Kluyveromyces lactis: one gene and its partner. The protein of the gene in region 2 purifies or fractionates together with the protein of the main gene of each other region. This does not show direct contact. Links are inferred from orthologs where the notes say so. Each region holds a gene or a part of one and is shown on either strand. Other genes may lie near its edges.

The links.
Region 1: the proteins of MOT2 (region 2) and CAF130 purify together in Saccharomyces cerevisiae (affinity purification with mass spectrometry; 4 studies listed by BioGRID, with this or other methods). This does not show direct contact. The link is inferred for Kluyveromyces lactis from reciprocal best matches to the Saccharomyces cerevisiae genes MOT2 and CAF130.

Annotation. Positions count from the first base shown.
Region 1 is NC_006041.1:354,316-371,109, forward strand, and holds CAF130 (CCR4-NOT core subunit CAF130), read right to left. Parts: upstream 8,079-16,794; coding exon 4,680-8,078; downstream 1-4,679. Other genes in the region: NCA2 (Nca2p), read left to right, coding at 1-108; KLLA0_E03873g (SH3 domain-containing protein), read right to left, coding at 385-1,047; MAY24 (May24p), read right to left, coding at 1,419-1,836, 1,915-1,919; PRE9 (proteasome core particle subunit alpha 3), read right to left, coding at 2,225-2,974; URN1 (Urn1p), read left to right, coding at 3,380-4,687; SUE1 (Sue1p), read left to right, coding at 9,085-9,660; KLLA0_E04005g (RidA family protein), read right to left, coding at 10,160-10,573; PEX4 (E2 ubiquitin-protein ligase peroxin 4), read right to left, coding at 10,804-11,280; KLLA0_E04049g (pepsin-like aspartic protease), read left to right, coding at 12,220-13,989; ubiquitin-protein ligase SAN1, read left to right, coding at 14,886-16,794. UniProt on the Saccharomyces cerevisiae protein: Acts as a component of the CCR4-NOT core complex, which in the nucleus seems to be a general transcription factor, and in the cytoplasm the major mRNA deadenylase involved in mRNA turnover.
Region 2 is NC_006039.1:697,180-713,190, forward strand, and holds MOT2 (CCR4-NOT core ubiquitin-protein ligase subunit MOT2), read right to left. Parts: upstream 10,062-16,011; coding exon 8,337-10,061; downstream 1-8,336. Other genes in the region: FIS1 (Fis1p), read right to left, coding at 109-576; EFM4 (Efm4p), read left to right, coding at 907-1,605; YRB2 (Yrb2p), read right to left, coding at 1,688-2,728; ARC15 (Arc15p), read right to left, coding at 3,034-3,495; ARG56 (bifunctional acetylglutamate kinase/N-acetyl-gamma-glutamyl-phosphate reductase), read right to left, coding at 3,842-6,412; U1 snRNP complex subunit SNP1, read right to left, coding at 7,020-7,925; KLLA0_C08063g (uncharacterized protein), read right to left, coding at 10,787-11,278; ICL1 (isocitrate lyase 1), read left to right, coding at 13,438-15,066. UniProt on the Saccharomyces cerevisiae protein: E3 ubiquitin-protein ligase component of the CCR4-NOT core complex, which in the nucleus seems to be a general transcription factor, and in the cytoplasm the major mRNA deadenylase involved in mRNA turnover.

The DNA of each region.
Region 1 (16,794 bases), on a different chromosome or scaffold from region 2:
CCAATCTGGGTCCGTGATTGTAACGACCTCGGCGATTACGGTTCAACAAATGAAGCTAAGATAAACGTTATTAACAGAATTCATCATATGTATGGCAAATTTATGTAGAAAAAGTAGGTACTGCAAACATCAAATGCTAATTTCTACATATGCGAGCATATGAGCATAAATGAACCGCCAGGTAAATCTATGAGAAATAAAAAAAGGCTTGCAACGAAGAAGAAGAATAAACGAGTGTAATTGGCGGAATAAAACAATGATTTGTGTTTGCTTCTTGGCAAAATAAGACAAAATAGAAAGCCTGAGCTAAAAAAGCTCTATTTTCTGCCTTAGTAAGGTAAATTTATCAAAATTTCTTAGTAAGAAACATGGCATTAACTATCTCTAAAAGATGCTGTTCACCAAATCAGAACCAATGGTGGCACCGGCACCAAAAATGGCAGCATTTCCCAATTTACTTCCGAACTTCTTAAATGCTGCGGAGCCTTGATGACTGCTTTGTTCTTGAGGTTGTTCTTGAGGCTGCTGTTGAGGGTATTGTTGCATTGGCTGTTGTTGCACTGGTTGCTGGTAATAACCGGTAAACTGTGGTGGGAATGGTGATTGTTGTTGTACTGGCGGCTGAACTTGCATCTGCTGTCCAGGTGGAGTATATGCCGCATATTGAGGCAGATTTGCAACCGGAGTTGCAGAAGAGCTTCTCTTTTCGACATCTTTCGTGTCAACTGACTTCACATAATTGCTTGGGAACACACCGACTTGACCATTGCATTTGCCCTTGTACCACTCAGGACTTAACTTTTCCAAGATCTCGATCTTATCTCCCGGTTTCAAAGCTAAATCACCATCCTGTTGTGGTTGAAATGCATATAGTGCTTCCACAATCTCGTTATTTTGACCCATCGTATCTGCTACTGGTGGTTGTGGTCTTACTCTTGGTAACAACGATTCAATATCCTTATATGCTAACTCTGCTAATGCACCTTGCTCCTTCAAATACTTCAACTCTGACTTAATTGTAGCTACACTTTCTTCCACTGATGGCATCTTTTATACTTCCAATTCCTTAATATTTGATAAAATTAAACGATATGGGATATAGTCTGGATCTAGATGATATCTACCTTGTCCCCTAAGTATGACGTAAAAGATATCCTAACTGGTTTCTTCCAATTCTCTTATATCCTCTGTTTTCTCGAGAGCAATATTAACAGGTTTCGTTTACTTAAGTTACCTGTTCCATGTTTCTGGATTGGTTCTTTTTATAAGCCTTGTTCATTTTTATACCGACCGCACGGAAAAACCTATTCCAAAGAAAGGGCCGAGATGAGCTAAGATGAACTGTGTAGGTCAGGAAGGGAATGGGTCACGGTTAAAATTAACTATATAACCGAATGCGACTAATATATATACATCACTCATATGATCGGACTTGTCATCGAGTAACTTGTGCTCACGTTAAATAAAATTTGGACCACAGCACAGCATAAGGGAATCCATGTAGACATTGCAAATAACCCTGCCTTATATATGATCGCGATCAATATACCCACCACAGTTCCCGAGACAAACGCCTGCGCCATGCCTATCATTATATACAATGGGATCATCCAAAAGCCGAATAAGATTTTCTTGTGTGTAGTCCATGCGATTGCACCTGTAGTTCCGTATACTATTGCAAATAGAATCATGGTCCAGAAGATCGTAAACCTCCATATATCGGGGAGGTAGTAGAGATATGCGACGCTGAACTTACCATTGTTCATGGGCCAATATAAGGATGGGAAATCGGGCACCTGATACCCAACAGGCACATCTCCTGTAATGAAGAATGTTCTTTTGATGTTATAAGTGTTAGTAAAATTAAAGTTTCTGCGGTTTAAACGGCGGATATAACGCTACCATCAGACATACTTCATAGCATTTGCTTATTAGACCGTGGTTATACTAAATGAGTAATGAGATTAAGCCCAAACAGTTACTAGCTACGAGTTTTCTTTAATTTGTTTTATCCTTTTTCTCAACATTGCATGCGCGAATAGTATTTTAACAACAAAAAGCTTCAATTCTTTAATTAATTGTAAAGGTAAAGACGTTTTCGACAGTAGACTGATTGAATGATGATTACATTCTAAAACACATACGTACTTATATATGGCAGTGAGGATAAAGGCAGTTAATGTCCAGTAGTTGAACACATGTGTTGGATGACTTGTCGTTATCGTTAATCATCATCCTTCTTTACTATTTCGGTTTTTTCCAATAGTGTAGCGATCTCTGTTGGTTTATAGATCTTCTGGTATATCTTCCCCTCGGCATCCTTGCTGATGGTAGCGAATTCTAATCTTTCGTGGGTCAACACACTTGAATCTGTAGTCTTAGATAGAGTCTTTAGGGCTAGTTCGATGGCCCCATCCAGAGTGATATCGTCTTTATAATCCATTTGTAGTAAAGTTTGAGCAGCTTGTGTGTTGGCACCAACAGAGATGGCTTTCCAACCGGAATAGTTACCAGATGGGTTCGAGGTATACAACTGGTACCCGTATCTGTCATCATAACCAGCATAAATGAACGAAACACCAAATGGTCTCAAACCACCATGCTGAGTATACCCTTGCTTCAAATCGGATAACCTTCTTACTAACATTTCAACAGGTATTTCCTCATTATACGTCTTCAAATAGCTCTGAGCCTGTACTCTGGCTGTATTTATTAGAATCTCAGCATCTGCAGTTAACCCAGCTACTGCAACCGTAATATTATCGTTCAACTTGTACAATTTCTCACTTGAAGTATCTTGTTCTAATAGTTTCGATGTCACTTTTCTTTCAGCTGCTAATACAATACCTTGTTCAGTCATGATACCAATCGCAGTACCAGCATGTGAAATGGATTCTAAAGCGTATTCAACCTGGTATAATCTTCCCTCTGGCGAGAAAATGGTTGTTCTCGAATCGTATCTTCTGGACCCCATCTGTTCTGACTTCTTAGTTGTTCTTTATATTCTCACAGACCAATTACCTGTACGCTCACAGAAATGCTCTTGCTGCTACTTTCGATGAACTTTAGCTACAAGTTTAACTATCTGGTTGAATCCAATTGCTGTTCAATCTCTAGTTTCAAAGGTTTGCCACTGGATTTCTTCTAACTTTGATTGTATTTTATTTCATTTTAAAGGTCGACATTAAAAAAAAAATAAAAGAACGAACCTTTGTTTAACGGCTCTTCAATGGATTTTCTTAGTGAGAACAACCCAGTGTACGAGGTGGAAGACCTGTCTCAGAGATGTTATTTGCATTGCTGCACCTGTCTGTGAAAGTAAAGTTTTAAAGTTTTAACTAAATTGGCGGAGAGCCCATTGTTCCTATCTGAATCAAGTATGAGCGAATGGAAGCGATTTAAAGATCCTTCGGGGAATTTCTACTACTTCAATACGAGGTCCAAGGTATCCACAAAGGAAAAACCAAAAGAGTTCGGAAGCCAGCAAGCTGGTATGAAGGAATTGAGAGTGCCAGTGTTCTGTTTACCTCTACGAAACTACTGGAACCTAGTGATTTGTAAAGATGGTTCCAAATTCTTTCACAACGATGAATCTAATGTGTCCCAATTCAAACTGGCGGATGATGAGAGTAAAGCTTTGTTGGATAAAGTTGATACATCTCTTCTTGCATTGCTTATAGGTGTAGCACGAGGGTTCAATCTTCGAAATGACCGTGACGTTTATGGAGAGATCAGAGATGTTTTACAAGCAAAACTCGACAGTAACGACAAAGAACAAAACGATATCACTGAGGAGAGACCACAAGTAACAAATTCTAACGTGGACACGGAAGATAAATCCGAATCGAGTAATATTTTAGTTTCTGGTTACTCTTCCTCATCAGATGATTCTGGTGAAGAATCAGAGGTAGAAGAAAAGAATGATCCATCTTCTATAGATGTTAAAGAAGAGGATACGCTACCGTCGTTGAATAACACGGAAATAGAATCTAAGTTCATTCAATTACTTAATGAAATTCAACTAGATCCTTACTCAACTTGGTCGATCCAAGCAAAGCGGATAATGCATGATCCACGCTATTATTTGATTACTTCTAATGACAAACGGGATGAACTATTTCAAACGTGGTGCTCTCAACAGCTCAATAATTCAAATAATGATAATGAAAATAATGCACAAGATTCAGCTGAAAACTCAGATGAAGAAGATTCAGACGTTACTCTAGAACCAACAAAGTATCACTACTTGGCACACATTATTTCAAAAGCGAATATCACTCCTGAAACCCTATTCTCTAATATCAAGAAAGAAAATAAATCTCTTTTCAAAGAACTGGAAATCAATAAAACTCTTACCAAGAAAGAACAAGAACAGTTTGCTTCCAAGGTAATCGCCTATTACAAAAGAATGGATAACCTACAGCGCACTGAATTATTCAAAAAGATGATGAAAAATAAACTTCGGTTTCCTCCGATATCGGAAAAGTTATCGCAGTTGATGCTAGAAGAGACACCGTCGGACTCTTTTAAGTTAGAAACTCAACTACTTCAATTGGAGAACGCGCTACTTATTCTTGATAATCTTCAAAATTCCTACATGCAAAATGAAATTATGTACTATATTCTGGGTATCAAAGACAAACTAGCCGCTCTGAAAGAAATACTACGAGATCAGTATTCTAAATAGACATTTCATCACACTCTTCCTCTGCTTCTTGCTGCCGAGCTTCTAATATGTCTAAGTAATCAATATCAAAGACCGCCAAAAATTCTCTATGCAATGATTGATGCGTTCTGATGTCCAGTGGCAGAATATGATCGTGGTACTCCAAAGTTATCCTTCCGTGAATAGGAGTTCCTTCAGTCAAAGGATATTTCTGAAGAAGGTGACGGAAAACTTTGTCAACAGGCTGTCCATCAAGAGATTGAACTGGTAGCATTCTGGAGAACCTTTCAGACATAATGGACGTCTTATCACCATTCTCAATGCTTGTATCAGTCTCCGTATCCCATCTGTCATCTATGTCACTTAGTTTTAATTTATCAAAATCTACTGGCAAAAGCTGATCATCAGGGTCAGTATTTGGCCGATCATCTAACCCCTCGGTCCCTAGATCAAGAACTTTCCCTAAAGCCTTCGATTTCAAAAGAGCATACATGGAACATGCTTCAGCAGAAAACGTCGACCATTGCATCAAAAACCTTTTTAATTCGTAAACGTAATCTTCATGTGGAACAAACTCGAATTCCTTATCGTTTAATACTTCTTCTAAAATGAAACACACCATCTTTACTTTCCCAGACATCTCAGCCTTACGCGATGTTGCAGAGAAGAACTCCTCACCATAATCATCTACATACACTTTTGAAGGATTTTTAATTGAAAAAGCTTCAAAACCCGCATCATTATACTCACCTAGCAGTCCTGAAGACACACCCACGAAAAATTCTTGTAGCAACATTTTTTTCTCAATTGCAGAAAGTTCAATAACTCCTTGTCTAGAGAATTCAATTGCAGCAACCCTTTCGAATTCTCCAGTGGGTGTCCAGCTAAGAATCCCCAATTGTTTGTTCTTAGTCGATTCTAAATCATAACTCCTGGCAGGATTGCCTCTTAGACCGAATAACAACTCATACACGTAATGGATGGACGAGAAAGTGTACGACCTATGTGTCAAGTGATAGATTAAGAGCCTTCTGTGCCCATGGCTCATCATCAACTCATCGAAGATTTTCCACCCTAAGCTATCATTGCAGCCTGAAAATGGAAAAGGCTTTATAATTCCTCCATCATCATTAAAAATTGCCGTAATAACTTCATCAGTAGAAAAAGGAAGCACTTTCAAATCTACCTCTGCAGAAGTGGCCGTAATTAATTTCAGTAGAATTTGTTCTTGTTCTAGCTTCACACATGTTGCAATACTTCTCAATACCGTACAGGCTTGAGAAAACGTTACGTTTCTATCTGGTAATCGTCTCAACAACTCAAAGAGAGAAACTTTGTCCAACTTAGACAAAAATTGGTAATCATCCATATAATATAGATTTAATCCACGAGGTATATCCCTCCAATCATCACCGTTTTTATCATAACCTGTTGTAAGATGAGAAACGAAATCATTTTGAGAGTCTCTGTGCGTCATTAAAGATGTGAAAGCAACAGCATTGCTACTTTCGCTAAACGTTTGAGGGGTTTCAGCTTCATTGATCTGCCCATTCTCATCCAATCCAACAACGCTTTTTTCACCATTATAGTCATCATCATCGTCATCGTCATCATCGTCATCATTGTCGTCTTCATCACTAAACTTGCAAAGGCAGCGCTTGTAGAGTCCCCTAAGCATTCTGAATCTATTTTTCTGTTCGAGTTCATTTTTAGTAGATGTAAACATAAGCTTACCATCTGTTAGCTTACTTGTATCTGCATCATTGTAATCAAAGTACTCATAATCAAACATATATCTGACATCTTCATCAATTCTATCTCCTTTTTGTATATCAGTCAATAATTCAACAATTTCGTCATAATCCATACCTGATGGTAGGAGTGCTGCGAAATAATACATTTCATATGTGTAAAGAGCCCCGTTGCATAATTTCCTTCCATGAGGAGACATGAACCCACCAAAAGGTTGATGTTTAAAATCGTGCAACTTCTCATCCACATGACCGTTGAGAATCGTTGCGATAATTGAGCGCAACGCAGAAGCTCCACGAATGACTGCACTAACAATTACTGGAGTACCATATAGCATCTGCATTTCCTCAAACCTATCTATTTGCAAACCTAACACTAATGCTGAACTTAAACCTCTCCATGCTCGAAGCATCATAGGTAAGAATGGGTTCAACCTCGGCGGCTTATCAGAGTGCATCTTGTGCATCGAATAGAAAGATAATCCTGCAATCATATAAAGAATTTCCATTTCGGGCGGAGAAAGATCGTATGGGATCCACGATGTCATGTATTTAGGGTATGCATCAGGGCTTCTTGCTTGGATATCTTTCAAATTGTCTAGAGATCTATAATCCCAAATCTGCAACATCTGCAAAATAGCCAATGTAATAGTTTCCAAATTTGCGCTCAAATGAATTTTCCAGACTTTCTGGTAATTGGGTATCAGTTTAACAATATAAGCAGTCAAAGAACCTAGATACAGGTCATGCAATAAATCCAATGAAATTATATGAGAATCGTTTGGAGGAGGTTGAGTCATGGGATCCGCAAATAAGCAAAGTGAGTTAAATTGCTCTGCAAGGAGTGGATGAGGCTCTTTGTGTAACCCAAGCTTAAAAAACAAATTAAATCGATCAGATTTGCCATTCAAGTTTAACGGATTGTGATCATCTTGTTTTGACAACGGTGGATTATTATGCCCAGAATTCTTTCCGTATGATTCTAGTGAATTCAGCCGTATATCGCCAGTTTTCAACTGAGAGAGAGCACGAACCATATCATTACCAAAATTCCCTAGAGTAGATAAAAAAGTAGAATTACGTTCTAAAATTGTAGTTGGAGATTCTGCATGTGATGTGGACTGCGGAGGGGTAAACCATTGGTAAGAACCATTAAATTCATACAATCGGTTGTATTTCATTAGACATTGCAAAAACTGCGAGCCGTCAAGTTTCTTAAGAACACTTTCTATCAAAGGCTTAGCATTATGCAAATAATCTAGTAAAATGTTGGATGTATCCCATAGTGGTGCAGTGAATTTGGGGTCCTGATTCGTGAGAAGAAATCTCATAGCCATTTTAAACGACTGATCTGAATACCTCTCTAAATCGATATGATCCGTTTCATTCCTTAAAACCCACCCTAGAAATAATGACAAAATATGCTTATCAGTTGCCCAAGTACCGAAAAGTGCCACCCAGTAGGGATCGTTCATTCGTATCAGACACTCAACCCCATCAACGTCATTTGTTCGTTTGGCATCATTAATCAATTGTGTGACAACCGCTTGTCCAGGAACCGTGGTAAAAAGAGCAATGACGAGTTTTTCTAACAGTACGCTCTCATCAACATCCGAATCGGCCAAAAATAATCGCTGAACAGAACTCTTTTCCTGTAGCATGGTAAATTGGAATGCGTATGCAAATTACACGGCGCTAGAGAAAAGGGTTTTCTCTATAGTCCAGAAGAGTGAGTCTTAAAACAAAACAAACGACCGATACCAGGGTAAGCAGTAGCAGCTCTTCCGTTCGTTCCTCTTCACTGACTCAGTTAAGTCCAGCTCAATCCTCTAAAAGTACACCCAGCTTCATTTCATTCGATCTCTCATCCCACCTCATCTCATGTTAGAACATAAACTATAATAGTATTATAACATTTGATATCTGTAAATGTGTTTTTCAAAAAAAAAAAAAAGATGGGTTCCTCCAAAAAAGTTCAGTAACGTGATATTCACGTGAATATCACATTCCTTTAAACATTTGTAATACACCCACACACCCGCCCCGAGATACCAATCCTTGATCCGATATCGCCGAGAGCACCAGCTAACACTGCATATACCGTTAGCCGGTTTTTGCATTTCTTTACTTAGTTTTTCAGAATTTGGCTAATCTCAATTCTCACCCATAAACTGAGCTAGAAACACGCGTGGTACCCGAAGGTTTGCCCGCTATTTCCCCCAGAATGTTTGAGTCTTACACAAGAAAAACCAGGGGTGTGTGAAGTCTTATTTAGACACATAGTGACATAGTGTGAAAACGAGTCGGATTGACTCGGTGAGCAACGTATGACATATGCGGTTTCATCATCCTTTGATCTGACATATATAAAATGAGTATATATAGTTCAAGGGTTTAACGCTTGGATTATCGTCTCGAAATTGATTACTTAGTTGCTTTAAGTATTTAAGTATGTGAAATTACGTGATTTTCCTAAAGCTCGGTGGATTAATATTTTCAGAGGAAACAGGGGATTAAATCGTTTATCGGAAATATCGTGTTTTCTTGTCAGACTATTTAAAAGCAAGGTCTGATAACGTACTGTCGGACAAATAAGAATCTAAACAGGTTTTACTATCTAGTTGAAAGCATCAAAGCATCGAAAAAGTATAATACAACCATAGGAAAATGCCATTTCCAAAGTCCAAAGCCACACAAATGTATAGACAGCTTCCTCGCGTGCCAACGACAAGGTTTCTTGCGCCACAAGAACTCACGGCTGACATTTTGTTCAGCGGATACAGGCCTATTGTGTCTCCGCTGAGGGATAACCCGCTATTCCAAGCGAAAGTGAAGGAACTAGAAGTGGAAAGGGAGAAGAATGGGGGAGGTAAACTAAAGTCTAAGGCAGCTTTCGCATCCGAACCAGAACATCCATTCATGGCCGGTCCCAACGGGACCGGAGGGATCTTATCTGGGGGCGTGAACGGGACGTGGCGTTATAATCCACGGATACCAAACAAGTTGTTACAAAGCGCTCTTTGGTCCAGTAGTGCAATGGGGATGGAGTTCTACCCTGAATGGAACGATGTACCTAATAAAGTATCTGCAAGTTTGAAACCTTATCAGTTGGATCAACCACAGGATAAGAAGATGACCTTGAAGTTCCCACCAAAACAGACAGATGAACTTTCCGACGAGAAGTCGGTAGATCAATACGAAGAAGTGGTTCAAGAGTATCTACAGCAGTGGAAGCTGAAATAATGCACTTTATTTTGGGAATGGACTGATCCTACCCCATCGCTGCATACATTAAACCTATCATTCAATTCACCGTTTTAGAGGAAAGCTGGTCTTAACTTTGGAAAACTCATTAATTCTTATCAATCGGATACCACAAATATACACATAAACAAGCTGCAGGCTCAAGTCTCATCCGGTGCCCTTCTATTTTTTTCTTCCTAATTATTACAATTCAATGCTCTTCACATCGCAGCAACCTTATTCGACATCTTACTTGATTCGGACACTACACGCCGTTCACCTTGTACTTTCACCCTGTGCCATGGTAATTGAATTTGCTTTTCAGTTATTATGGCATAGATTGGATTAAGAACATTCGTAAATTTCCCAGCAAAGTCTGTTCTTTAAACATATATTCGTTAACATATAGTATAATTAACATGCTATAGAGGCATATATATAATAGGCTTTTCCACCACAGTTTTTGGAACGCAAAGCCCGGAAAATCTAAACCCCGCCTTCACAACTTGAACCATCTTTTCTTGGATGGAATCTCAGCGATACATTCTAATTCGACTTTCAATTTATTGTTGGGGAATGCAACGACAATGCACGATCTAGCAGGTTGATTAGGGAAGAATTCTTTGAAAACTTTGTTAACGATACCAGCGTAACTACCATCGGAAACGAACAGCAAGATTTTCAAGACCGAATCAACAGAAGATCCAGATACTTCAAGCACTTTCTTCAAATTGATCATGGAATTTCTAGCCTGTTGTTCCAAATCCTCAGGTAGTTCATTGGTAACAGGATCTGTACCAACACAACCACTACTGAATAGTAACTGATTCCCCGATTCTGTAGCGAACCCAGGTGAAATTAATGGGAACCCGTCCTTAACCCCAACGTCTTTCCATGTAATCTTTCTAGCCATTTCTCTTTCGATAATCAAGTGTCTCCACCCCGCGAACAATAGGGAAGCTAGGCAAAAAGAAAGTACTAAGTCAAAGTAACATACATTTGTGTATAAAACATGTACAAAGGAATATAAGTTGCATCATTTCCATCATTTAATCCTTTTTCAATCATTCCTATTCAATTTCACTGCAAGGAAAAATGAAAAATCCAGCCATGTTGCTGTGTATTTCTACGTAAAAGTCGTACTCAAACGCGTGCCAACCGCGCCTCCTCAAGTCTATACCTAACAATCTGCACGTAGGCTTCATAGTCAGCATCGTATATCTGGGCAATGTCTAGATCTAGTGGCGAGTCCAAACCAGGGTCTGCCAACAAATCTCTTATAGCTCCAACAACATCTAGCAAGGTATATATCGGGGTCCATGCATCTTTCAAAAGATCTAGGCAAATCTCGCCCGTGTCCCACTTCACGTTAGGGTGAGCCACGGTACGTGGCTCAAACAGAACCCGAGGACCGCCACTGATCGGATACTTTTCCAGATCTATGGTAATGTTCAAACCCAACTCAAACCCTTCAAACGGCGATTCTGACGGGCCTTGGAATCGACATACCCATTCGGATAAGTCATCATCATCTACCGGTGCAAGAAAACTGATCCATGAGAATTCAGGGGTCTGCAACCGTTTCTGCAACCCCATATACTCCTTAACAATCCTACTCATCTTCGATCTTTAATTTCCCATGTGTGTGTGTGTTTGCATGCATGCGTGCTTGCGTGCGTGCAAAGACCGTCAATCAATCAATCACGTCACAGAATTGAACCAAATTGAATAATTTTCAGTTCTTCAATAAGATATAGGAAAAAAATTGCAGCAAATCACCCTTTCGGCGATGGAGTGCTCAGGCAACAAAGTTGTCAAAATTTCTTCACCCAGTTACTGCGTATTACGGGTATTACTGGAGAGCCAGATAACTTAGTGGTCACCAAATTGCCAAAACGCTTCAAATGACAACTCAAAATAAACCACGTCCGTAACCTAGTTACCCAGATATACTTCACAGGACAGACCCTGAGGAGAACGTAGCCAACACAACTACACAACTACACATTGCTCTACATTCTACAGAGTAAAAAACATACTCGTCATCGATGGGGCTTGGCCCGTTACGCTCCCATCTGCATTCACGGTGTGTCCTCAGTTCTTTTTTTTTCTTGCCTCGTTTCATTTCTATATTTAATCGTTGACGAAATGCCCCGCTCTATGAAGGCTTGTGCTTGTTTCCCGTGTCGAAAGTTGGCGATGTGGGAACTTTGAAACGTTGAAAAAAAAAAAAAAAAAAAAGGAAGTTCTATGAAACTTGCCTTATTATAAAGGTTTTTTTCCCACGATTAAACGTACACTGGAAAATGTTTCTACCCATCTTGCATTTCACATCACGTACCTTCTCTCCTAAAAGTTTGAGGTAACTGACTCATTGAATTGGAAAGAAAACAGCGGCTATTGTCTTAGCGTATATATATAAAGGGTCTTTTCATTTTACAGAAGACGTTATACTTTGGCTGACGTCTTTTTTTCTTTAATAATTAAAGTTCATTTCTTGGTACTGGTTACTAATTCCCCCTTTTATTATCCAAGGCGCATATATAGCAAACACCAGCAATGAAGTTAAGTGATGTTTGTTTGGGGGCGCTGTTGGCGTCCCTTGGTTCTGCTGGGTATATTACGAAACGTGACGTTTCCCAGGTCGGTGAGGCGAATAAGAAGCATGTCTTCATGTCTTTTGACAAGTTGAGAGGGAATGACGCGTCTGAGGCGTCATTATCGAAGAGACGCGTTGGCCATTTGAAGAAGCGTGCAGATGGTTACGTCGACGTTGAAATCGATAACCAGAACACGTTTTACTCTGTTGATTTAGAGATTGGTACTCCTGCACAAAAGGTTGGTGTTTTAATCGATACTGGTTCTTCTGATTTGTGGGTGCCTGGATCGGGCAATCCGTTCTGCTCCGCTTCTAGGTCTTCTTCGAAGAAAAAAAGACAGGATTATACTGCCCTGTTGTCGTCTTTACTGAGTGTTTTCGGTACTGATGTAGCCACCGATTACACTTACACTGGTATCGCTAGTGCCACTGGTAGTGCTGGTACGCAAACAGTTCCTACTGCACTCACATCGGGTACAGTGGCTGCTACTTCTATAAGATCTGTCCCATCAAGCCTGGCCACTTTGGATTGTTCTGAGTTTGGTACTTTCGACACGTCAAAGTCGTCTTCTTGGCAATCAAATGACACTAGATTCTATATCTCTTACGCGGATGGTACCTTTGCTGATGGTGATTGGGGTGTAGATGAAATTCACTTGGACGATGTCAACGTCACGGGGCTCAGCTTTGCTGTCTCGAACTACACAGATTCCCAATTCGGTGTCTTAGGTATTGGATTGACAGGTTCTGAATCCACTTATTCCGGTCAGTTAAGCACCTACAACCGCTATCAATACGATAACTTCCCTATCGTGTTGCAAAGAAACGGCGTCATCGAAAAGAATGCATATTCTGTTTTCTTGAATGACTTAGATGCGGATTCTGGTTCTATCTTATTCGGTGCCGTCGATCACAGCAAATATACAGGTACGTTGTACACCGTTCCAATGGTCAACGCTCTCAGAAGCATAGGCTACACTGAACAGATTAGATTATCGATCACTCTACAAGGTATCGGTGTGACGAGCAGTTATGGTAACGAGACTGTGACACAGACTAAGTACCCTGCATTGCTAGACACTGGTGCCACATTCTGTTACTTCCCAAGTAGTTTAGCTGCTGCCATTGCAAGTTCTGTTAGTGCTACGTACTCTTCCAGTTCAGGATACTATTTTGTGGATTGTGATTCTGGCAGTGATTATGATCTTGTCTTCGACTTTGGTGGCTTCCATATCATATCCCCCTTAAGTGATTACATTGTTACAACGAGCAGTTCTTCCCAATGTGTCTTGGGAATACTCCCTCAATCTGATAACGAAATTACTTTAGGTGATGCCTTCCTAACCAGTGCTTACGTTGTTTACGATTTGGAAGAGCTCGAAATCTCGCTAGCACAAGCTTCTTACACTAGCGGCGACGAAAAAATCGAGGTCATCAGGGATTCAGTGCCAAGTGCTGTTGCAGCTCCAGGTTACTCCAGCACTTGGTCTACTGCCGCAAGTTTATCTACTGGAGGTAATATCTTCACAGTTACCAACAATGCTAATGGTACTGTTTCGACTGGTACAGGATCTTCAGGCTCCGGCAGTTCAACCTCCGGTAATTCGGGTTCAACCTCAACCGGTTCCTCTTCAAAAAAAGAAGGCGCTGCCTCCAGCTTGCCAGTACCACACTTGGCTGCGCTAATTTGTCTACTTCTAAGTGCAGTTTCCATCCCATCCTTGTTCTGAGCTGAGGAAGACTGTTACTTAATAAAAGCAAAAGAAAAAAAAAGAAAAATACACACAAACACACACGATGCAGACTTCTATCAGAGGAACTTCGTTTCACATCATCTCACATTTGGTCTTACTCTCTTCGTCTATTTCATTGTCTTAATTTAGCACATTTTCGGTTCTTTGTCAGATCAAAGATTCTATTGCCAATAGAAACCCTTTCACTGCCCAAAAATTGATGCGTTGCTCGATCTCCGTTCCACTTGCATAGGAACAGAAAGCCTATAATCAGAATTTCTTTTAACACCCTAGTTAATTCAATTTCTCACATAAGCATACTCTCTATCAAGAATATTGTTCAACTTACCCTCGAACTATTTCGACAGGTCGAGCATTTTATATTGATCAATTGATTCCGATAATTTGTTTGAGTGAACAAAAATCCCAACCAAGAGACGGACACTATCTTAATTAAACTCAATCAGCCCCTTGTCCAGCCAATATTTACAGTTCTATGTATCTCTTTTAAGAATTATAGGTTTTTCTGTACCACTATAAGCACATAAAATTTACATTGCTGTAACCCCGTGAGTATGTAAGTTGAGTGTTAATATATATATTTTCTACAGTCTACAGCGAACCATTACTAATACCCAAGTACTCCTCTTATATTCTTTCCTTTGCTGGGAATAGGTGTGTCACATGAAAAGACGTTCTCAACGTCTGGTGTTCCCAACCACAATCAGAGAGATTTCCGGCATTTTTCCAATATGGAACTTCAGTTGATTTCTGAGTATTTAAAAAAATGATAAAAATGTGTAGCACTTCGAATTAGTGATAACCTTTTTGGACTGAGAAATAAAATTGATTTGTCAGTGGGGCTCAAAGGGTCAAACGACACGGCAGTTGTTATGTCTGATAACCATGATCAAAGCCGTGATAGTGCTCCTGACCGTGGGGGTAGCGAATCAAGTGAGAACGGTGCAAGCGGCCCATCCAGAAGCCATTTTACAATAGCCATAAATTATGCCAGTTTATCAGGGAATGATGAGCAAGCTGGCAACGATGCTGCTAACACAGCATTCACTCCTATGATTTTGAGATTTGCAGATGTCCCGAGTGATACTTCTTCGGGGAGGCTAAACGAAGTGATAGCGTTAGCCAGCGAATATATTTTCCAGACACTAACCAGGGATCAAAGAAGACACAGTGGACTTACGAGAGAAGCATTTGAGAAACTTGAAGTACAGAAAGTTGATACGCTGGACGAAAAAACCTGTGCTATTTGTTACGATGATTTAATTAATGACCCCAAGGATTTTGCCAGTACTTCATCGAAGAGAGGTCGGGAGGAAATTGGTAGTGCCGAGTCACCGAATTCTAAAAGACAGCGTAATGAAGAAGCAGCACCGCTACCACATCAAGAAGGCCTACCAGAGAACGAATCAGATCAACGTGTAGATAATGAACTGCCTGATCCTGAATCAAGTGCACACCACACAGGAGAACAGGAAGGAGGTCAAGAAGACACTCCTACTTATGGACATTCAGCCACGGTACTTCCTTGTGGTCATGTATTTGGAAGAGAGTGTCTTTACAAATGGACAACAGAACATAACAGCTGTCCGATCTGCAGGGCACCTATCTTAAGCGAAGAGGAATTACAGGCTCTTCACAGCAGCGATGATACGTCCTCAAGAGGAAACAATGGACCAGACGCTACTCAACAATCTACTTTTGAATCCATCAGAAGACTGCTTTATGAACGTTCTCCTGAACCAGCTGTAGTGAACACAATTAGAGAAAATCAATTGAATACTAGTTCAGCAGAAAGCATGACAACTGGCACAACAGCCTCCAATCAAACGGATGGTTCTCGTGTTACGGAAAATTCAAATACTAATGAAAATAGACAGCAACCAGAATCTGCGCAAGATATTACTAATGATACTAATAATCAGTCAAGAACTTTTTCAACCAGTTTCATATTTTTCCTATCAGATCCAAATGCCAACCAACCAACGGCTTTAACCACACCCCCAGTTGCTAATACTGGTGTAACTCCTACAGCGGCAGCAACTACTGCCACGTCCCCAGCGGCTACCGGAGAAAGAAGCACAGAAAATCAACAGGCTACGAATCCAGTTCCCGTTAATACCGCTGATAATAATACCACACATGCGGCCGGAAGAACGAATACCCCAGTAATAACCCATTTCAACGATCTGCCGGAAGATAATCAAAGATTGTTGGGAAATATCAGAGCCATTTTACGTAGAGCACACGAAGAAAGAACTAGTACTGGTCGTGGAAACGATGACAATAATGATGACAATAACAACAATAATACTGCTACTAATGCGGAAAATACGAACAGTCAGCAGAACAGTCATGTTGGACATGATTTTGCGCAAACGACAAGAAGGTTTTTCAATTTATTGCCATTGCTTGGTCGGAGACAGCGAGGTCAAAACACCAATACACAAATTCCGTCAAACATCCAACCACCACCAGCTAATCCACATACTGACCCGGCTCTAGAGAACCGCTATTCTGCATACTTGGAACATTTGAATACATTGCGTAACGGGAACCGCCCTTCTTCGGAGGCTAACGGAAGTAGATTTAGACTACCGTCCTTCTTTAGATTGGGCAGAAATACTGCCGGACATCGTCACGAAGGAGGAAGCAGAACATCAGCTCCTCTGTCCAATCCACAAATTGATCCATTACTAAGTTCCAATATATTCAGCTCCGGAGTCGCTAGCTATCGTCATGCTAACGGAGTTCGGACTGTGAATTTCACGGGAGATATTCCAG
Region 2 (16,011 bases):
ATAGGGACATACATATAACATTATTTACAAGCGAGTAATATGGGTGACAGGATATTCCCTGGAGATTATATTTCTATTCTTGAGAATGTAGTGGAGGAAAGAAATTTGTTAGCGCCTTCTGCCTCTGATAAGGAGGCCGATGGTGGTTGCGCCGATGGCGATTCCTGCACTGATCAAGGCAATCCCTTTTAATCCCTGAGAAGTGATCTTGTTTTCTACAGCGGTTTGTAGCATCAATGCTTGTTTGTTTTCAGGTTCATGATGCACTAGTGCATCCACGTACCGCTTTGCAGTAGAGTATTCGCCGAGTTTGTAACATCCGATGGTCAAATAGTATAAGCACTCTCTTCTTCTCATTGGAGATTCTTTGTATATGTCCGTCAATAACTTAACACCCAACATCTGATCTTCCTTATTCGTCGATCTGACGAGACCCCAGGCGTAATTGAAGCGTGATTGAATAGATGATATTTCGCCCCCTTCATTGAGCACCTGTTGCCTTAAAATTTCGATTTGATCGCTGTTTAATGCAGAATATGAATCCTCCAATTCAGGAAGGTAGTGGATGTTAGTCATACCGCAGTATTTTTTTGAGCTTGTGCGAGTGATTTCAAGATAAAGAAATAACTGCTACCTTCGATCGTTTCAGATGTTGTTAATGATATTGTTTCAAATTCAATGTCAAATTATCAGTTTTAACTTTTCAATTTATTTTTCTTACGTCCGCTAGACATCTCGAAAACGTTTTGATTATATACAAATATATACAGAAAGTCATCTCTGAGAATTGGTACAGAGGCATCGCAATAAGATCAGCAATTGAAGTTCCGTTCCAAATATCAACACTGATAATTGCGGTAATTTATCCGTTGGTTCATTTTTGTCCAGAAAACTTACACTAGAAACATGGAAGATACAACAAAATTGAATACTTCTAAGTTGGGAACTAAGGAATACTGGGACGATTTCTACTCATTAGAGAAACAAAACTTCGAGGAGAACCCTGAGGATACTGGAGAATGCTGGTTCGCTGATAACGATGCAGAGGAGAAAATGGTCGAATTTCTACTAGATAACTTGGGCGAATACAATATCAAAGAAGACAGCTCAATGATTGATCTCGGAACTGGAAATGGTCATCTTTTGTTCACTCTATTGGAGGAAGGTTTCAAAGGTGAAATGATCGGTGTAGATTACTCTGAAAAATCAGTCGAGTTTGCTGCTGAGATTCTCAAGACTAAATACAGCCAAAATGATAACGTAACTTTTGCTACGGCAGATATATTCAATGAACAATGGGCCCCAGGTAAATTCGATGTCGTTCTAGATAAAGGTACACTAGATGCCATCGCATTAAGCGGTATAAAATTTGAAAACAATGAAACCGTGGTAGATGTCTATCCGAAAGTGATAGAGAAGATATTAGGCGAAAACAGTATTCTGTTGATTACATCATGCAATTTTACAGAAGAGGAACTCATAAAGATTATTGAAACAGAGACGTTGAAAAAATGGAAATCGGTAAACTATCCAATATTTGAGTTCGGTGGTGTCAAAGGAACTACAATATGCAGCGTTGCCTTTCTCAAATCTTCTGCTAAATAATCTTAATTAAGGTATTATTCAAAAGGTTTTAAGTAGTGTCAATTTTACAAAGTCTGTTTGAATCAGAAGTAATATGTCCAATTCAATTCTCCAGGATATGAGCATTTACTTTCTCATATAACTCATCTGCTATTTCAGCTTTTCCTGTCCTTAAGGCATACTGGACAGGATTCTTGTTCTCATCAACTGCTAATATTCTGACGAACTTTTCTCCGTTCAGAGAACCTGGGAACCCTTTTTTAATAGAAAATCCTTTTACAAGCGGTAGATTCAATATTACTTTCAATAACCCACGGGATCTCATTACTATTCTCGACTTTTCTGAAACTTCATCTTTATTTAAATGTAGAACACCAATTCCTCTTTCCTTCCAACCATCCTTTATATCGGTAAGCTGATACAGCTTGGCATTTGTTTGGAAGATCGATTCTTCTGTCTCTTCGCCCGATTTGACGTCTTGTTTCGTTAATTTTACTGTTGGCTCTCTTGATTGGGCTGGAGTACTTTCCTTTTTTTCTGATTCGACTGTTTGCTTGTCTTTTGCAACACTATCTTTGGAGGCTACTTTTGCAGCTTTGAATCCAGCACCAAATGATAGACCAGATCCGAACGAGAAACCTGGTTCAACCTTGACGGTGTCCTTATTTCCATCTTTCTCAGTGGTTTTAGCCGCAGGTAAACCAGCAGAAAAAGCATTGGCTGCTCCAAATGGTTTAGTTGCCACTCCAAAGCCAGAAACAAAACTTGAAGATTGGCCAAATGTGAACGATGGTTTTTCCACGTCTTTTTCTGGTTTAGGTTCTGTTTTCTTCCCTTCTATCTCTGCCTTGGCGCCCTCATCTTTTTCCTTGGCCTCTTCTTCTTTTTTATTATTTGTATCTTCTTCTTTTGTTACCGCTGTTTCCGTTGTCTCAGCAGTTTCAATATTTTTAGGTCTCTCTACGGAATTGGCCTCTTCATTTGCTGTATCATTCTCTGTTATGAACTTATCAGTCTCTTCTGAAGGTTTTGCTTCATCTTTATCATTGAGTTTGACCTTCTTCACAGGAGTTTCTGTGCTTTCTAATTCCGAATTCACCTCAGGAAGCGCACGTTTATTGCTATCGTTTAAAGTTTCTGGCATTGTGAAAAGCAGGAACAATATACTGGAGCCTTCTTGACAATATTATAACCCTTTCTTGGCATATGTCTGTGCTTTCAATAAGAACTGAATGTTTAAAACTAGTACTTTCTCTTTTTTTTTTTTTTGGAAATACTAACTCTGAGAGGTCCCAGTAATACTTAATAAAGGGCCTGCACTCCATGTGAACAAAGGCCAAACAAACAAAGATCCGTAATGATCGCCCATTGGTAGGTGAAACTGGATCATATACGTTAGAGTAAATATATCATACTAAATTAAGTAAAATCGTACTGTTATATAGTTCTTTATACAGTTCTTCTATCCGAGAGATAGTGAACGATTGGATTGACACCCGCAACTTGCGTTAACTTTTCGAACCATGCGAGAAGGATACCCCCATGCTTTTGACCCTCAGGTATAGACATACCCTTGTATAGGTATTTTATCAATGCGTCTTGTTGCTTGCGATCCAAGCGCTTAACTATATTAGCAATATCCACTTGTCTCACTTGGGTTAGCACCTCCAATATACCAGAGAAATATTGTGATTTCGCTTGTTCGTCGGCGTTGTATGGAGGATCAGTTGTGAATAGCTCAACAGCAGCTGCAAAATCACCAGATGATGTGTAAGAACGTAACTGTTGAATGGTTGGCTGTAACTCTTGTAAACTCACGGTATGTGAATATGGTGGTTTCAAATCATCCGCCGTTAATCTCCCACTTTCAGGATCGTAAGCATCGATATCAATTCTTCTCCAGTCTTCCATATTACTAGTTCAGAAGGCAGCTGCTTGGATGAATACGATAAGGATAATTCAGCGCTAATGCTTCCTGATAAAAGAAGTAGACCGGCCTGCAGTTATTTCGAGTATTTTAACCTAATCCATTTAAAGGTTTCCATTCAATATGAATCCCATTCAATAGTAACTTATAGGAGATATCCGGGTAATAAATCTGGAAACAGGGTAACTATGGTTTACAGCACTGGACCGATTGACTGTTTATCACTGACAGGAAGAACGATAAGCAGATGATAACATTATCTTCTTATACATATATATTAACTAAGTTCAAATTGATATAGATATACGGGTTATTCTTTGGTGGTTCCGTTTATTGAATAATCTTATTGTCTGGAATACCGTCGTATTCACCGTAACTCAAGGCCAGGTTGATGTTCTGTAAGCATTGAGTGGCAGCACCCTTCAATAAGTTGTCAATAGTAGCACAGACTACGACACGGTCTTTTGCATCATTTACCTTGAAACCACCAACAACTACTCCGTGAGTACCAGAAACGTCCTTAACTAACGGAATATCATCGGCAACATGTACCAACTTTTCGTTAGCGTAGAATTCGGTGTACAAGGCCTTAATTTGTTCTGAAGATAGTGAGTTCTTCTTAATAGGAATAGAAATAGTATGAGAAATACCTTGGAACCATTGGGCAACATGAGGAACAAATGCGACTTCCAAACCCAAACGAGTTGAAATTTCACGCTCATGGATATGGTTTGTTAAGGAGTAAGGAATTAGATTGTTGTTCAAGAATTTTGGATCATTCTTTGGAGATGGTGTAGTACCAGCACCAGAATAACCAGAAACACCAAAGACTGTGGGTAATCCTGTGATGTATTCCGATAGAGGAGCAATCGCTACTTGGGCACCGGTGGCGTAACAACCGGGGTTAGCAATCTTTTTAGCATTGGCAATTGCTTCTCTGTTGTTTAACTCTGGTAATCCGTAGCTCCATTCCGTCTCCGGGACAAATCTATGATCAGCGGATAGATCGACAATTTTGGATTTACCGTTGGCAACCGACTCAATGGCCTCAACGAATGGTTCGCACACTTTGTTTGGCAACGCCATGACCCACACATCGACAGCACCTTCACTTTCTAGTTTCTTTATGTCATCAATTTGTAGATTCGAATAAATAATCTCAGACTTGTTATATCCTTCCAACTTCTTACCAGCGTTTTGACGAGAGGAGACGTGAGATAATTCCAAAAATGGATGTGAGTCTATCAATGAAATAAGATTTTGACCTGTGTAACCTCTGGCACCAATCAAAGCAACTTTAGCAGGGCTCTTGTTAGTGCCTTCTACTTTAGGAGCAGATCTGGCCCTAGTGGAGTAAGATCTGGATGATTGACCACTGGAAAATACACCACTGGAGGAACCAGAGAAGGATGGAGCGGTACCGCTTTCAGGGGAGGTCTTAATGAACTCGGATATTAATTCGGATACAGTGTTCAAATCTTTGACACCATACCAGAATAGAACCTTACCGTTCTTCAAATAGGAACCATCAGATTTGTTGAAATGCCAAGCGATGTTCGCATCATCTTCATTGATCACCCATTGTAGGGCAGGGAAGTCACGTTTCAAAGCTTTGAAAACGTTATCGGTGACGTTATTCAACCAGCCGGTCTGGGAACATAGGAATTTATCTAGTTTTGCCACCACAGAATCTTTCTTGACAATGGCAAGAACATCTAGTGGTTCATCAGCGTAAGAAGTGAAATCTGATTCGTTCAAGTCTCTCAAATAAGAAGCAACTGATTGAGCACCGGATTGGATGTCTGGGTCACTTTGTAAGATATCTCTCAAAGCGTCAGAGGATGGGAATTCCTGTAAAGTAGATCTTCGAATTAACTTGTAGCCTCTTCTAATCAAAGTACCTGCACCAGAATCGGTGAACAATTCTTTTTGCAAATCTTGAACATTGATGATGGCCACGGACGAAGATCTTGGCAAGAAGTCCAACAAATCTTTAATTTCTTTGATTTTCAACTTAGTTCCGAACTTGACCCAACTTTGCTTCATCAATTCATCGTATTCTTCATCTAAGTTAATCACTGAAACCTTCTCACCGGTGCTACCGTTAATGATACCGCCCTTCTCATTCAAGTAAACAATTTTTAGAGGTTCAAAGACTCTAGCAAGTTCACCAGCAGCGACATCAGCATTGACATTCAACATTTGACCAGAAGGAGTTTCGGCCAACGAAGTCAAAATTGGTAAGACACCAGCCTTGATTGAAGCTTCAATTGGATCTCTAGCTACAGAGGTGATGTCACCTACTAATTTATACTTATCCTTATCCAAATATTCAGCGGTGAAAACACCAGAAGTAATTGGTCTAGCACGAACACCAAGTTGTTCCAAAGCAGTAACTAATTTCAAATTCTGTTCCAAGAAACACTGTCTAACAACAGCCATGGTATGATCATCGGTAATTCTAATACCATCAATATAATCAGGTTCGATACCTTGGGCTTCCAATCTACCGTTCACTTGAGGACCAGTACCATGCAAGACGATTGGGTACAACCCAACGTGATACAAAAATGCAAGGCACGATGCCAATTCCTGCAAGTTATCACTGATAATAGCACCACCGACTTTAATAACAGCAAATTGCTGTTGCGAAACCGAAGTGAAGTACTTCAAATATTGTTCTACTTCTCTTTTCGATCCAATATTGTTCAATAATTGAATAACCGTAGATCTAGTCCCAGTAGATCCAACACCGTTAGCACTAGAAACAAATCTTTTCGAATAACCAACTCTCTTTGGGATTGAAGGAGAACATCTAGCCAAAATCGAAGCAACTTTGCTCAAACGAGATGGATTCAAACCCTTCGTTGACATCAACAATCTCGCAGATGGGACAGACATGTTTTCTTCTTCTTCTTCTTCTTCTTCTTCTTCTTCTTCTTCTTCTTCTTCTTTATCTAATCAAAATCCTTTAAAGAAGATAAAACAGTTGGCTTGGCTCACTATCACTGAAAAGGCAGGTATCAACACTTTCCTGCAAACCCTTTAATTTGTCCTGCAGATGGATAGAGCTGGTCTTAACTTCGATTAGACAATAATGCTGTTCAGTACTTTACGAGTTAACTCATACTTTAGATACCTAATGGAAATACTTAGCGAATGGGAAACTGAAAACGGTTTTCTTTATATGTGCGATTCGCTGAGTTGCCATTTTTTTTTTTTTTTTTGTTTGACTGGAATAATTTTTTCCATCGTTATTTTGGAATCAGTCATCGATCAAGAAATTACTCATGCATACAGAGGTAGTGGTTCAGTTATGCTTGGCCAGTGGGCACAATGTAGGAGAACTGCGTAGATATGAGAACAGAGGTAGAAATGGTAGGAAGTACATATAACATTTAGCCATGGCTCATCTGTATGGCTACTTATATGAATATATATGAAAATGTATATAGATCACTGCAGCAGTTCTGATCACGTGCTATTTGATGTGTCTTTTTATCTCATCTCAATACATCAATGTGTCTGTAGAACCATTGGAAGTATCATTGCGAGATCTGTCCCTCCTTGATCGGTAGCTAGAACTTGCAGTTTTTTGGAAATTTGATGCAGGTGAGGATATTGGACTAGTTGGTTGATAAGAATGGGAATGCCCTTGTGGAGGACCTCTTCTTTCGAAGGTATCGTGTCTTCTGATGGGTCTTCTAGCATGTTCATGCATCGGTCTTGTTGAAGCACCAGTTAATTTATTTACGAGATCTTTCCTTTGGTAACCTCGTCCTCCTAATCCTCCACCTAGACGTCGAGGTTTGAAGAATTTCACCGTTCTGCCTCTTTCTATATCAACGATGGATGTTCGGCCCATGATTTCTATTCCCTTCCTTACACCAAGCTCTCTGAAACACTGTTTGGAGTCTTCATAACTGGTAAACTGCACAAAACCGTATCCTCGGCTCTTACCGTCTTGGTCTCTTACTATTCTGCACGATTCAATGTCGCCGTATTTGACGAAACTCTTCTGTAGTTCAACTTCGTCTACGGCATAGTGTAACCGTCCGACAAATAATGTGCGGTAGGGGTCACTAGAAATGTTTGCATCTGATTCAGGGTGCCACTCTTGTATTTTCTTCATCAACTCCTCCTGTTCTTTGTGCGATTCGTTCATGGCTTCATCATATACTTTCAAGTGTTGGTTCTCTGATACGGGATGGGTTGCCTTCTTATACTCTGAAACATGTTGCAACACGGCTGATACACCAGTGAGTGCATATTTCTTGTTCTGGTTTCGCCTTACTCTCACTCTCGATGGTGGTAATGGTGGACCTTGTGTAAATAACTTTGATACTGAAGACGGAAGTTTGGTCAAAGTGTGAAAGCCATTATGCCTGTTGTATTTCCTCGTTTGTGGTTTCATCTATTAATTGGAATGGATATGTGCCAATATTATCTTTATTGATGCGCTTACCGCAGTATCGAGGTTAAGGTGTATGCGCTGAGGTAAAGTGTATGTAATTATATTCCATATTTTTGGCGCATCTTTACTATTTAGATGTTAAATGTTACAATTTTCACATAATTGATGGAAAAACCTTAAAAAGAGTGTGTCAAAATATGTATTTTAATGTGAATGCCTTTGACAGAAAGAAGAACCCAGAAAGACAGTAGATTACAAGGTCTGATTTGGAAAAATGAAATTGAAACAGTTGTTTATCTAACAACCTGGAACGGTTTATATTGAAAAATAAATGAATGTACATGAATATATATATTTATTTATATGCTAACTTCGTAAAAGAAATATTATTGGAATCATACTGAGTACTGATTATACGGCAGCAGTCTGTTTCTTACCGTGAATTAATTGATTTAGTAGATCGGAAGAATTGCTTTGTGGCTGGCTCATAACTTGCTGCGCCATGCCTTGCTGCGCCATGCCTTGTTGGGCTTGTAGTTGCATTTGCAGTGAAAGCTGTTGTTGCTGTTGCTGTAATTGCTGTTGCTGTAGCTGCTGCTTCTGCTGTTGTACTAATTGTGGTTGCTGGACAGCAATTCCCGGTGGTAACATGGTAGGTGTAGCCTTGTTTTGAATGAATGGCAGAAGAGAGGACATGTGGTCCACAGGTTTTATAGTAAGCAAATCACATAGTTTGGCACCCAAGACACCTTCAGATTGCTCACTACATCCAATCTTCTCAAATGAAAAAAGTGATGGGTAACTTTGATATGTTTCGTCATCCAATAAGTTGGAGTTGAATGTGTAGCTTCTTTCAGGAATATCTGATAAAAACTTAAAAGTTTGATCTAGGAACTTAACACATGTTGCCATTGGATCGTAAGGATCCTCGTATGTCTTTTCGCCCTTCTTCTTCGAACTTACGTTAGAAGAAGAGTTTGCTGTTGGGGCAGATCCAGTGGTCGTAGGAGTGCCTGGACCTGGACTGTTCAGAGTTTCCCCCAAGGAGCTTGACAACGTAGGGAAAGTGGTAGAAGTAGAAGTCTTGTTGAAAATAGTAGAAACTGGTGTGGGTGCTTGAGATATACCCCATGGGTTTGAACCAGATGGAACTGGAGCTGGTGTTAGCACAGGAGCGGTTTGCTTCGAGCTTGAAGTTGCAGCTGCTGGCACAGTAGAGTCATCTGTTCTCAATGAAGCATGAGCAAGCTTTGGCGTAGAGCTTGCACTTGTAGACGGTTTAGCAAGTGTAGGTGGTGCATGTGAGTGATGGGCATGTTCCTTCCTGGCATTGTTGAAAGCATCCGCTTCTTCCCCTGGTTCATGTAAAAACATACAGTTCGGATTTGGACATGGTTGTCCCCTCAAATACGAGGAGCAGTACTTTGTTGTACCATATGCTGCTTTCACTTGATGTCCATCAATATAGATACCATCTATGGCTTGAATACATTTTGCTGCATCGTCTTTTCTGGAAAAAGTAACGTAAATACCGTAACCTGAATTTATATGACTCGATGAATTTGAAACAGAATGGTGCTCGTGTCCAGTCTTCTTATTGATGACGATCTTGTTAATTTTTCCATACTGGCCAAAATACTTGTCCGATCTCAAGATGGATGGAAGTTCTTCGTAAGGGTAAGGTGGATTCAACCCAATAACGTAAACCAAATTCTTCTGAATGACCCTCATACCAGCAAGCTGTTTCCTATTATGAGTGTCATTTTCTCTACGTTCACGCTCCCTTTGCTTACGATCACGTTCTTTTCTGGCCTGCTTGGAACGTTCCATTTTCAACTCTTCTGGAGAAAGAACGATGTACTCGACGCTTTCATCGTCGTACTTTCGACGACAAGCCGGACATCGACCATTAAGCTCAGGATTTTGACGAATATTGTTATAACAAAACTGACAAATCTGATATCCACAAGGACAAGGCTTGAAATGCTTATCCATAACATCGAGTGGTTCTATACAAAGTGGACACAAGTCCTCTTCGTCATCCGATAAGAAGGACGTATCGTAATTTGATAAAGCTTTCTGAATCTCATGCTGATTCTGATGAACATGCGGATTTTCCGTAGCCGTGGCATTCATCTTATCCGTATGTGTATTGTGTCTAGTATCGTGTATATCGTATCGAAATAGTGCTTTCTTGTTATCAGAGCTGTCAGATAATGTGTTATCCTTATAGTGTAAAATTGCCAAGATGTATTCTTTCGCCAGCCGATAATGATTCTTCGTATATTCTAGGACAGATAAATTGACAATAAATAGTTCCGCTCAAGCACTTAATTATTTCTAGAATTTATTTTTGGTCCTGTATGCTTTTTTTAACATACGTTTACAACTCGAAACTTTGGTAAATACACTATTTGAAATACATATATATTTTTTTTATAAAACTCTTAAAAGAAGTTTTTCAATTTTTTAAACAAAGTTTCCATGAACTAACTAAAGAACGATCGAAACTGAAATAAAAAAAAAAAATTTCCTGGAAATTCTTCCTTTAAACGGATACGTATCTTCAGAAGACGTAATATGAGGTCACGTGAGAAGAAATGTTCTGATGGGTTTGTATCATAAAATAAAAGGGGTTGGTTGACAAGGCATAATGTATGAGGAATAGAAAGCCATGTTTAGATAATCATAAAATTCATTCAGTCATTAAACACGCTAATTACGTATATATAGGAATGCTCAAATCAGGCCTACGTTACTTTTACGGCGTTTTGGGGGTCCTGTTTCGTTGTATCTCTCAAAAGGCGCGATGCTTTAGTGAGAAATTTGAGGTCATGTGACTCAAAATAAAACAATGGTCTCTAAGCTTCGACGGCAGCTGTTAGTGGTTTTGTCAAATAATCGACATCTACAATAGCCGAATCGTTGTGGCACTCCACGGTAATATGGATTTCGAAATCTTTACCGTGATACTGGGTTACATCATTATACTTCCATACAATGTGTTCAAACGATTCTTCCTTTGCCTTGTCTTTAAACTTCAAATCAGGCAGCTTGATTCTCTCTTTGATGTCCTTTAGCAAATGTTTTTCGATATGCTGATGCAAATGCCTCACAAACTTCTTTGAATGTGAATTGGCTGAATCCTTAATCTTTTCAGGATCCTCATGCGATTCGTGTAGTACAAATGGAGGATAGTACTTCAAATGACAATGAACGTGATCAAATTCCTCATCTTCAGTTTCGTTCTTAATGAATGTTTCGAAATCGTTCAAATCTTCAAACACCTTGACGACTTCTCCGGACTTGGTGGTGACATTAGCAAACTTTGGTCCTTTATCCTTCTTGGTCATTTCTGTGAATATTCTTCTCTGATGTAGAGTGTGTCTGTGTGTTAAAAGTTAATATATGTATTAACTATTGCAAATTGATGCTTGTGTACCGATGGTAGCACTCAAGAAAAAGGAAAAACACATAAACTTAGGGTATACGGCAAAGAGGATTAGCAAACTTGGAGTTAGGATTTTACCCTCTATTTATATGCCACTTTTACCTTTGTTGTCTTATGTGTTTTTACTCCAACACCCCTAACCCTAATTCCACATAGATCCAACCCTAATTCCGCAGAGGTACAAATAAACACAACCAGCTAGAGATAGCACACCACCATGAGGCTAGGTTGCACATAACACACCACCGAATTTTTTGCTACCCACTTTTCTTCCTCTTTGTCTCTATACCAACCCATTTAGTACCCACAAATAAACTCTGGGGTGTACGGTACCAAGCTTCGCCAAAGAGAATGCAACAAATGATGAATATACTGTGATGTAGTGATTGCTCATTGAATAAGTAGCGTTATTCGAAGTAAAGAATAGAAAATCACAAGACTGGGGTTAAAGCTGCATCAAATAGGCAAATGTGCGGCGTATCATGGTTTGCGCGCACGGATTATCTAACAAGTTTTTCCACCACTTAAAAATTGAGGGAGCGTTCCGCATAATTATAATTGCTTTTTTTGCTGACATCGGCATCCTGACTTCTTCTTTTGTAGTGCTCTATTTGTGAGTGGTGTTAAAAAAACATTCAAAGTGGCATGCTATTCTAAGGCAATATGGAAACATGAGAGTTCCTCTTTGAATATCTGGAGCTCCAGCCTATTAGGCAAGTTTTGTCAGACTGCTTGTATGGAAGAGGTTTTCGGGAAACCATATTCGACTCGGTAGAGTAAGAGATATGTCTGATTTATCCTCATATGAAAGGTTTTTAAGAATATAAGAATCAAGTATCGAAATATTTGCAAAATTTTGGCACTATGGCCGAGTGGTTAAGGCGACAGACTTGAAATCTGTTGGGCTCTGCCCGCGCTGGTTCAAATCCTGCTGGTGTCGTTATTTTTTGGAAATAACTTTTTTTAACTAGACAATAAGCGTTTAGCCGGGTAATATTTATTTATATATATCGGCTCCTTCCATGGAGCTGATACCGTAAGCTCACCTAATCTGCATCTAGATAATCGGGTATGATTAACAGCGACATAGCTATGTGATTATCTGCCCCATTACTTAAAGTAAGGTTTCACTTTCGGACTAAGGACGAATGACACAAGACACAGAACGCTCACACGGTTGAAACATTTTTTTTCCTGATCCTTTTGACCCTGTTTGTTGTCCCTCTTTTACGATGGGAGAATTGAATCATCCGCCATTAAACCGAATGTGATAGTTTTTCCAGTTTTTCTTCCCCTCCCTACATCCATTTCTAAAGAATTCACGGACATTTTCGCATGAATGGGGAAAGTTGACTCAGTTGACTCTATTTGGTTCCTCAGCCAAATAGCAGGTTAGGCATACTGGGATCTGGACGGCTTGAAACTGGTCAACTGTTTCAACGTAATTGGAACTCTAAGTGACAAATACCACAACCGAGTATCGCAATTCAGGGATCAATGGACGAACAAAACACGATTCATTTGCACATACATGGTACCGTTTGTAATCAGAAATGATCAGACGAAACCAGAAAAATGGTGCATATCACACAGACGGACAGACAGTTAGAGAAATCGACTCATACCTTTCCCTTGATTAAAGGGAATAATTTGTCGTCAGTGTGAAAATTTTGGTGGGAATTAGAGCCATGATTGGTTGAGTTAAGCAAAAAAGGACCTTAGTATTAGGTACTTCCATTACGTGTGTGATATATTCTGTGACATCCATTTAACCATGATATTTTGAAATTGAATTAGGTTAGTTCAATTATACCTTAAGGTTTTAGAATTTTTGTATAAATATAGGATGAGGTTTGAGAGTCTTGAATAACTGATGGTATGTTTCAGAAGTATTTATATTCTACCTTGTATTTGTTTGTAATTCTTTCTATTGATCTGAAGAAATCATCAAACGATATTGTATTGTATTGTAATAGTCACAACTACTTTGCAAAACATATACGAATTTAATTGATATTATCATAGGAAAGTTTTAACGACAAAACATACAAACCCAACATAATGGTCTCCGTTAAGGCTTCTGCTGCTGAAAAGAAGGAATTCTTACAAAGTCAAATTGACGAAATTGAGAAATGGTGGTCCGAACCTCGTTGGAAGGACACCAAACGTATCTACTCTGCTTACGAAATTGCAAAGAGACGTGGTTCAGTAAAACCAAATACTTTCCCATCTACTGTGATGTCTCAAAAATTGTTCAAAATCTTGGGGGAACACGCTAAGAACGGCACTGTCTCCAAGACTTTCGGTGCTTTGGACCCTGTTCAAGTGACCCAAATGTCTAAGTACTTGGATACCATTTACGTTTCAGGCTGGCAATGTTCTTCCACTGCATCAACTTCTAACGAACCGGGTCCAGATTTGGCTGATTACCCAATGGACACTGTACCAAACAAAGTGGAGCATTTGTTCAAGGCTCAACAATTCCATGACAGAAAACAATGGGAACGTATCTGTGATGGTACCATTGAAGAATCTGAAATCATTGACTATTTGACTCCAATCGTTGCTGATGGTGACGCTGGTCATGGTGGTTTGACTGCTGTCTTCAAGTTGACAAAAATGTTCATCGAAAGAGGAGCTGCCGGTATCCACATTGAAGATCAAACTTCTACAAACAAAAAGTGTGGTCACATGGCTGGTAGATGTGTTATCCCAGTACAAGAACATATTAACAGATTGATCACTTGTAGAATGGCTGCAGATGTTTTGGGTTCAGATTTGATCCTTGTTGCCAGAACTGATTCTGAAGCCGCTACTCTATTATCCTCTACTGCCGATTCAAGGGACCATTACTTCATCTTGGGTGCTTCCAATCCAGCCGTCAAGGGTAAACCATTGAACGATTTACTGAACAAAGCTATCTTGGACGGTGCCACCATCGATGACTTACAAACCATCGAAAAAGAATGGTTGGCCAAGGCCGACGTTAAGCTGTTCCACGAAGTATTCGCTGACGCTGCCAAGGCTGCAGGTAAGGACCAATCCGTAATTGACCAATTCAACAGCAAAGTCAACCCATTAAGTGAAACATCAATCTATGAAATGCAAGCCTTGGCCAAGGAATTGTTGGGTACCGAATTGTTCTTCGACTGGGACTTGCCAAGAGGCCGTGAAGGTTTGTACCGTTACCAAGGTGGTACTCAGTGTTCTGTGATGAGAGCTCGTGCCTTTGCTCCATACGCTGATCTATGTTGGATGGAATCTAACTACCCTGATTACGAACAAGCTAAGGAATTCGCTGAAGGTGTCACAGCTAAGTTCCCAGGCAAGTGGATGGCTTACAACTTGTCACCATCTTTCAACTGGACAAAAGCTATGTCTGTCGACGAACAAGAGACATTCATTCAAAGATTGGGTGACTTGGGTTACATCTGGCAATTTATCACTTTAGCTGGTCTACATACAAGTGGTTTAGCCATCGAACAATTCTCCAAGAATTTCGCCAAGTTAGGAATGAAGGCATATGCTCAAGATATCCAAAAGAAGGAATTGGATAACGGTATCGACATGGTAAAGCACCAGAAATGGTCTGGTGCTGAATATATCGATGGTCTATTAAGATTAGCACAAGGTGGTCTCGCTGCCACTGCTGCTATGGGTCAAGGTGTCACTGAGGATCAGTTCAAATAAGCACTTCCCAACTTGAACAGCCAAAAAACACAAACAAACAGACAAGCAAAATGTCCTATACCACAGCCGTACATACATGTAACAAACATCCTTTGCAAACCATATATTATTTTATAAGTAGCATATTCTTTTATAAGTACTATCATTTATTATTATCATTGATTTGTTTATGAACTTGGGTCAAAAATATCTGCAGATTCCACGTAAGCACAGGAATGAGGCGACTCATTTTTACCTTCTGAACAGTAAACCTCGAAAAAAAGAAAACCTTGCCAGCCATGACTGGTGTTATTGGCGTTGGAATAAAAGGTACAGTTGGAAATAGATCAAGTATAAAAGTGCCACAACTTCTTTTTTTGAGCTCTTCTTAGAGATCCACGTACCTGTTTTCTGTAATTGCAGTTAATTCGCCCTTGAGGAATTCTTCCGTCAACCCTGCCCCATTAAGTATGTTTTTCCGGATAATTCCTGACATAATTCACGGAAATGCCTTAAGGAACATGAGAGGAGAGAAAAGTGCCGCCCAAACAAAGTTTTGAGACTCAACCGTAGGTAGTTTTTCCGAAACGTCCAGAAAAGAAAACTTTACTTCAAAAACCGAAGTTTCGGTTACCTATGATTTCGCCACGATGGTACTGATAATAAAAGAATTGAATAGAGAGATGGCTACGTGTGTTCAATAATCGGAATGCACAAACTGAAGCTCTGTACTTAGGTTAGGAGTGTCTCTTCTGATCGAGCATGTGACATAGAATGACTATCTACTAACAATTTCCGCTAACCGAAAACACCTGCAAGCACAAATACGAGGCAGATTTCAACCGCCTTGAGCAGTCCCACTTTATTTAAATCACCCCCACATCAAGAAAGCCCAGTTACCACGTAGTTCTAATCATCATTATAGGTGACTGCCTTTTTTTTTTTTCCAATGTTCTCGAGACAGAA